Coturnix japonica: one gene and its partner. The protein of the gene in region 2 purifies or fractionates together with the protein of the main gene of each other region. This does not show direct contact. Links are inferred from orthologs where the notes say so. Each region holds a gene or a part of one and is shown on either strand. Other genes may lie near its edges. The genes, in order: ADGRA3 and RYK.

The links.
Region 1: the proteins of RYK (region 2) and ADGRA3 purify together in Homo sapiens (affinity purification with mass spectrometry; 3 studies listed by BioGRID and IntAct, with this or other methods). This does not show direct contact. The link is inferred for Coturnix japonica from reciprocal best matches to the Homo sapiens genes RYK and ADGRA3.

The regions. Positions count from the first base shown.
Region 1 is NC_029519.1:67,404,680-67,409,180, reverse strand, and holds the start of ADGRA3 (adhesion G protein-coupled receptor A3), read right to left. Parts: upstream 3,085-4,501; coding exon 2,819-3,084; intron 1-2,818. UniProt on the Homo sapiens protein: Orphan receptor that may have a role in planar cell polarity pathway.
Region 2 is NC_029524.1:3,431,490-3,435,304, forward strand, and holds part of RYK (tyrosine-protein kinase RYK), read left to right. Parts: intron 1-1,107; coding exon 1,108-1,240; intron 1,241-2,938; coding exon 2,939-3,048; intron 3,049-3,815. UniProt on the Homo sapiens protein: May be a coreceptor along with FZD8 of Wnt proteins, such as WNT1, WNT3, WNT3A and WNT5A. Involved in neuron differentiation, axon guidance, corpus callosum establishment and neurite outgrowth.

The DNA of each region.
Region 1 (4,501 bases), on a different chromosome or scaffold from region 2:
TTTGTTCAACAGAAAAAGTTGTGAAATCATCAGTTGAGCTTGCATAAATGAAGCGGCAGCAGTGGTTATCTTATCTCAAACTTCGACTGCAAGAGGTATATAACATGCTCCTACTCCTTACTTAAACATGAATCATGGCAGTGACTTCAGTATCTACTGAAACATAGTAGACAAAGAATGAAGTTATATTCATCCAGTTATATTATCTCCACACCAAAAACATCTCATCTGGCCGGTTAAACTACAAAGGTCAAAGCAATCTGTGAATGTTCATGTAGGTACACCCTTCATTTGCATCCCAATCACTTTTTATTATATAAGGCTACAAGTCCCTTCCTTGGCCGTATCTAAAGGTCATATTTTAAGATGAATGTGAGTAACTGCTTAGTAAAGCACCAGCTAATTCTAATCAGAACGTAAAAGAATCTCAATTTACAGTCCTAAATCCTAAACATTACTTATTCTCCTGTACACATCTCTCTGTACTTTAAAGCACTTATTTCAGTGTTTGTTTTCCTCCTTCAACCAAAAAGCAAACTTACTTTATACTTTATTCATTGAAATTGTTAGGGTTTTTTTCTCCTGAATAGTAACTACAGATTCTTAGTAGGTGTAACCAGTAGTAACCTAAGTTACTAGAGCAAAGTAAAGTTCTGCAGCAATCAAAAGCCAGCCATTTCCTAACAAAATTAACTGAATTAAAACATAGCTGATTTACACAACAGTGATCTATTTTCAGCTGCTTATCTCTGTAGTGATCCACTAATCCAAAAAGCTATAATAGAAGTAGGTCTTATCTTAATAGAAGAATCCCACAAGAATCAAGATTCAAGATAATTCAGGGCAGCTTGACTCTAATCAGAAAACTTTCCACTCCCCACCAACTACTGCAGTTCAAAAGCAGCTTGGAAAGAAAAAAAAACCAACAAAAAAAGTGAATGGTTATCTAATCTTTTTCCAAAATAACTTAGCCTCTATTAAAGAACATGTTAATGAAATTGCACATAATGGCACATGGCAACCCAACTCATAAATCACCAACATCTTCTAACCAGGTTAATGATGACTCAGTAAAAGGATCTCAGAGATATGGAAAGTTAGACCTGAGGAAACCTGAAAGATTCCAAAACACAACAAGCACCGTGTTCACTCAGAAAAATCAAACGCATCAGTTTAATAGTCTTTGTCTGAAATTTAAGTAATATTTCAAAGTGTGCATTCATATTGACTCTATCAACACCGCTATGATACTCACTAGAGAAAACAGTAATAAACAACGTGTTTTCTGGTTAAGTCATTTAAAAAGTTAGGAGTACCGAAGGGAAGATCTGTTTCAGAAGTAGTCATGCACTTCAAGGGGTGGTTAGAAATGAAAGCAACTAATTACTGTATGAAGATATGCTCTAGATAACAAAGGAGTATGAAGAATCAAAATGAAATGAATTCTTCCAAATTCTTCTGTCACTGCAGTTATGAACAAAGGTCCATTCACAGCAAGGATGCTATATTTGATATCTGCTTGTCTTTCATAGCAATCAAGGCTGTGACTCCAAGTTTTTCGTATCAAAGGACCCCCACTGTCAACTTCAGCGTATCACCCAGACTAACACATACTTTTTTTTCCTTCTCTTTTCTTCGTGCGTGTGTGCGTGTGTGTGGATAATACTGTATTTTTAACAGCTAATCAGCTGCATGGCACTTACAGCTAACAAAAGCCAAAATCAATTCGTTGATCAAAGAGCTGTCACCTTTCACTTTTTGCTTTCCTTTATACTTCAGGAACTTCACATGTGAATATTTCTGGTCATTTCTGACAGATCGTTGAGAAATATTCCGACCCCCTGCATACTGACAAGCTGAGGGCAACAACACAGGCCCCTCTTTTTTGGTCTTCCCCTTTCCACTGACAGGCCCTTACTGGGGTACACTCTAACCTCTCAAAGAAGCCCCTCCATCAGGCTTAAGTGCTGTCAAAGTTTGCAAAGGCAACAGTCAAACTGTTGTTCTCAGAACAAAAATACATTCATTTAGAGCATGTCTAGAGGAGGGCCACAAAAATGATCCAAGGGATGGAACACCTCTCCTATGAGAACAGCCTGGGAGATCTGGGGCCGTTCAGCCTGGAGAAGGCTCTGAAGGGACCTGACACTTTTCAGTATCTAAAGGGAACCTACGAGAAAGAAAGGTACAGACACTTCAGCAGGGTCTGTTGTGATGGGACATGGGGAAATGGTTTCAAACGAAAAGAGGAGAGATTTAGATTGGGTATAAAGAAAATGTTGCTCACAATGAGGGTGGCGAGACAGTGTTAAAGGGCTGCCCAGAGATGTGGTGGATGTCTCATTGCTGGAGACACTCATTCCAGGCAAACAAGTAAGCATATTAAGCCAGACCCTATGCTATAGTCACTTTCCATTAACTTTCCTTCATGTGACTCAATCACACTTGGATCTCCCATAGTAGTAAAGGCTCCCTAAAATAAGATCACAAGTTTTCGGGCCATCACTGATGAAAGTGTTACTGCACAGCATCGGTTAGTGTCTCAGGAAGAAAAGAAAAACAACTCATAAACCCTCCCTGTGAAGAGCAGCAACACGTTACTTAGTTTGGAAAAAGCTGCACATCCTGCTTGAAACTTGTTATTCAAATGGATGAGCTCCACGTAGGAACAGCACGCCTAAACGTAAGCCGAAGTCAGGTCGGAGCTGGGAGCACGGGGACGATGCACGGTGAGAAGGGACCACCCCGCAGAGCGCTTTACAAACCGCTTCCCTTCCCCCCTCCATCCCAAAACCACCACCCCCGGTACCGTACTCACAGCGTGACCGTCCGGTTGGGCAGCGCCTCGGGAGGCAGGACGTGAGCGAGCTCCAGGTTGCTGCACACCACCTTTACTTCCAGCGGGCCGCCAGCCGCCGCTTTGCCGGAGCTTTTGGGGCGCCCGTCGTACTTACAGCCCGGGGGCAGCGCGGTGCCGCCGCCCCTCAGGGCCGCCAGCAGAAGGAGCGAGGCCAGGAGGCGCGCAGGGCGGCGGGCACGGGAGCGAAGTGGGCGGCACGGAGCGCGACGGAACGGGGGCAGCATGGCGCTCGGGGCCCGGCCCCGTTCCTCCCGGAGGTGCCGGATGAGGAGAGGAGCGAGGAGGGAGCGCGGCTCGCGGGCCCTCGCTTAGCTCCGCGGGGGCGGCGCTAGGCGCGGCCGCAGCTCCGCCGCCATGTGGTGCCGGGGGGTGGCGGGCCGGAGCTGCCACCGCCGTACCCGCCCTCGTCTTTGTGTCGGGGCCGGGAGCCCCGCGCAGCGGCAGCAGCGCCGCCTTCCGCCGCTGGGAGAAGCCCGCGGCTTGAGCGCCCGATGGGCCCCGGCCGCGCTGCGCAAGCGCCGCCGCCGTGGCCGTCCTCATTGCGCCTGCGCGTCGCGGGCTGAGGGGGCACGGCGGAGCGGAGCCGCTCCATGGAGGAGGAGGTGATGGCTGCGGCCTCGTGAAATGGGGCTGAAATGGCCGGGGTGGATGCTCTGTGTGCACGGTGTAGTTTGCTGCCCGGGCGATTACTCCGTTTCTGTCCGCCTTCGTGTCCCCAGCTCTCTGCGGGACGGTGGTGCTTCGTGGCCCATGTTCTCCTTGTGCAGCAATGCAGTTTGTGTAGCATCCTTCAGAATACCCGCTATGCCAAAGAAATACAGTACTCTATGTTGGCCATAACAGCTGCCAAAATGAAGCTAACGAAATCTTTAACAGTTTTACAGTTTCTTTGAGTAACTTGGGACACCTCTGACCTCTGCAGCCTTATTTTAAATGCAGCCTAATAAAAGATACAGGCAAAGAATCGCAACTGTGGATGGGGCAGGTGGAACAAGGCTTCAATAACAGTATCACCATTGCTTTGGCATGTTGTAGATACTCTTTAGCTACCATGCACTTTACCTACCTTTGTGTTTTCTCATTTGTCTGGCCTCTCACATGAAATGAAGCCTGTCCCACTTAATGAAGTTGTTGACCAGCATGCACAGGCTATGGCTTCTTGAGCATTAGCATTAGTCACGGAGTCACACAGCAAGACTGACCTGATCTGAATTGAAATGCCACACCAAAATTACACTTGAGTTAAATTAGGACAGGGCACAAAATATAAAATGGATAATATTCAGCTCTTATGTTGCTATTGTGCCAACTATAAGAATATATATATCTGTTTAGCATATAGCTCAGCAGTATAAAGTTAATTCTTCAGCTTATGCCTTTGTTTTAAACAATTTCAAGCTGCAAGGTGAAATTCTATTGGATCAACGCTTTGCATCATAGAATCCCATCACTTTTGGTCTAGCACCAGGAGTTTTAAAATAAGATATGCTCTATCAAAACCTTGAAGGTTTTAAGCAAAAGATTATTCTTGGAGGCTTGTGCTTTTACCCTCTTTTTTCCTTAGTGCACATACTACAGTTCCATTCTGTGCTAAAGATTTGAGAAGATTATTTTGAAACTGTAATATACTCTGGTCAAGTT
Region 2 (3,815 bases):
TAGTTAGGTATTCCTTTCATTTTCAGTTACTGCAGAAATGTAGTGGCTCACACTGCTCTTTTTGCACAGGCTGGTTGTTCAATGTGATATTTCAATGATAATGAGGAGAGTAAGTATATATGTGGGTTGATTTTGCTGATTTATTAGTCTGGCTTGTATTATTTGTAATTTTCTACACGGCTCAGGAGGCTGAATTTGGCCTTGAAGAATTTTGTTGCTGGCAAGGATGCAGGACAGAAGAAACCCACATTCACCATCAGGTCTCGTGGCTAGTAGTAGTTTGTGAAGGAAGTGAAAGTAGTTAAAAGAAAACTGTTAACGCTACACTGGATTTAGAAGCTGCTTTTCTAAGAATTATTACAGTTAAGACCTTGCTTAAAAGACAGAATTGTATTAAAAGGAGTAGCAGCGTCTCAAGGAAACATTTTAAGATGAAAATAAGGTGAAATAACCCCTCTCCCATCATTCAAAATTGACTGTTATCCTTTTACAAGTAGACATCCTCAAATGTCCCACCTTGGTAAACATCATGCAGAAGAAAAGTTATCTCTTACTGAAGATGAAGCTAAATGGGTATATAGAGTTCATGGATGTAATGCCTGACAATCAGACTTATGGAAATGTGGATTTTCCAAGTTCCAAGCAACAACAGAACTCACTGAAAACTTCCTACTACGCTTTCACTAGAAAATGCAGTTTCTTAAAAATGTTTCATGGAAATTTTAAACCATATAAAGTTTGTTTCAAGTTTCTGTGGGGTTTTTTATGTTGACACTACAGGAAGGTGTTTATAAACAATGCAGGGGGAGGTTATGCAGTCTGGAAGGAGGAGAGGAAATAGCCCTGGTAGAACTCCTAAATTATTTCTGCATTAATAGTACGCCCCTAAACCTCCTGCCACTGCCCCCACAATAACACCTTCTTTTTTTTCCTTTTAAATCCTCCTTAGTGTCTCCTCAGCTACTTGGAGTCTTTGTGTGCTGCAATCTGTAACACAAAGCTTTTACCTGATATTGAATTACTTTCAGTTAGTGTGTTTTGGTATTGAGAAGATTTTGGTCAAATTACAACTCTCTGAAACAAGAGATTTCTGTCCCTGCCTTACAGGAATCTGCTGCCTATCACTCATGTTTGTATAGAAGAAGGAGAGAAACCAATGGTGCTGCTGCCGTATATGAACTGGGGGAACCTTAAACTATTCTTGCGACAGTGCAAGCTGGTAGAGGCCAACAATCCTCAGGTAAGCTCTGAAATCTGTCACTTCCTGCCTATTCAGCTTTTACTCAGAAGCCCTGGTTTGTCATCTGTATGTATACCTTAAAAGAAGTAGCTGCACTATTCATCCTGTCCTATGACAATGAGAGAACTGACAAGCAGGTCCTTAGGAAGCAGTAATTTTGATTCATACAAGGAAAACATTCTTGGCTGCCTTTATTATCTCTGTTGAGAGGCCGTTCAGCTGAGTTAAACTCTCAGTCAGGGTAGGAGCTGGTATATATCGGCACATCTAAAAAAGTAGAGGAAATGATACATGGTAGTGGATTCAAGTTACAGTACACAGGGAAAAGTTGTGTACAGGAAAGAGTCATATTAAATGTTTTTTTGCAGGATAGACGATCTCTTAGTGCATGGTAGTTTGTTGTTTCATAATAAGCATAAAGCAGTTCTGTTAAATATATGACGTACTGCTGTATATTTGCTTTACAGTAAAACAAATGTATTTATTTACCTTGATGATGGAAGTGGTTTCTGAGAATTGGTTTGTTTTCCTGCTGTTGGTTCTCTTCAGGTTTTGTAACACTTTACCGTGTTTTCCATAGAACTTCATGTGTTTCACAAGAAGTGAAAAGGAATAAAATAATTAGATGAGCATTAAGTTTTAAATATGCCCTTTCAGCAAAATGATTTTAACAAATTGGAGAAGCTGGAAGGAAATCTGACATGTTCAGCCATGGATTTGTCTGTATTTTAGAACCGTTCTTCTTGCTGGGATTGCTTCATCTTTCCTTTTCTTCAGCTTTACCTTGGTTTGTCTCTTGTCTTTGAATTAAATTCTAAATGAATTCTGGTTTGCTGAGGTGAACGTTTGCCCATCACGTGCCAAATTTGAAACTCTCAGGGTTACCTCCCTCTGTTAATTTACAAAGCCAATAAACTATGATAAATATGATCTTCCAACGTTGATTTATCTGCTTTACTACTTAATCTGGGTTATAAAACTCTATTCAGCACACAAATATCCCTTTCCAAGAATTCAGAAATGGCATTTGTAATCTGTGTTACGTCAAATAGGAGTTGCCTCTCAGTGGTATCGCCATGCTTCCTACTGTACCGAAGTCTGGAATGTTTGGTGTTGTACTTATTCAAAGATGAACATCTATGGAAGTACCAAAACCAAACTTTTGAGTTCTCTGAAATAATGCATTGTTCTTATTTAGAAGCCAGTGTATTATTGTTAACAGCTTCTTAATTTAGCTTAGTATTTGGCTTTATTTTATTCCCCAGTCTTGATACTCTTGTATCTACCTACATACTGAAGCTTCAGAAATACTGTAGAAATGGAAGAGAGAAACCAGGATATAGATGTAAGGCAAGAGTTTTATGTAACTGTGACACTGGTTTCCAAACAAAACGAAATGAGAGTGTGGTGTGCAGGTACAAGTGACCAGTTTTTGCCTGCATTCATTGCCAATCCAAGGAAAAGCTACGTAACAGTGAGAAAACTGCAGATGCAAATACCTGCCCCTGCCATGTCAACTAGGAAAAAAAGGCTAAGAAGTTAGAATAAGGAATCTCCATAACTTTTCAGAAGATGGTAGTGTATTATCAGCTGCTAGAAAATCACGGGCTACTAAAGGTTAAGAGAAGGGAAGGGCCATTAGGCTACAAATTAAAAATTAGCCTGTTCTGTATTGATTGTTGTTCTATACTCTTGCAGGCAATTTCCCAGCAGGATCTTGTACATATGGCTATCCAGATTGCCTGTGGAATGAGTTATTTGGCCAGACGGGAGGTCATTCACAAAGACCTGGCTGCTAGAAACTGTGTGTAAGTACCAAACAAGACAGAGTCATTGTGCAAACAGTGTTATGTCAATAACTGGGGCTAAGATGGATTTCCTTTAACCAACCTGATCTCTGCTTCGAAACCAATACCACCTTTTTTCCCCCTTATGTTTTGTGCAAGTGGTTCCTTTAGTGTAACTTTCATCTAGGTGTATATATAGTAGAACAGAATGCTTGGTTTTTAAGAATGCAGAACATCCTATTCTGGAAGATTTGTATTGGATTTTGATTTCCCTTATTTTTTGAAGATGCTCACCTAGCCTAAGTGTTTTCCTTTAAATTTTGATGGTAAATTGAAGCTTCTTTGGCAATTTGCTAATGGACAGATTTTGCACCGGGAAGCAGAAAGACCTACCCCATAGCCATCCCTTGTGCTTTTGAATTGATGCCACTGAGCCCTTTTAGCAAAATCCATTATGGCTCTTGCAGTGTGTAAGGATGCTCAGTTTGATATAGTTTCTTGAAGGTTCTTTTCATCTGTTCTTGTTGCTTTTTCTCTGTGGTGAATGTATTAAAGAAGTGATACCACCGAAGGCGAAGATCACAAGCAGTGCTCCAGGGAAGCTGCCTTGTGACAGCCTCTCATTTCAGTGCAGCAAATGAATTTACTTGTGCCCTTCCTGGGCAAGGTTGAGCATTCTGACAACTTTACTCCCTGCCCTTACAGGGCAAAGTTCAGCTTTGTTTTAGTTGCCATATGTGTGATCCTGAGTGATGTCAATATAATTCAACTCATAGTACATCTGGCAC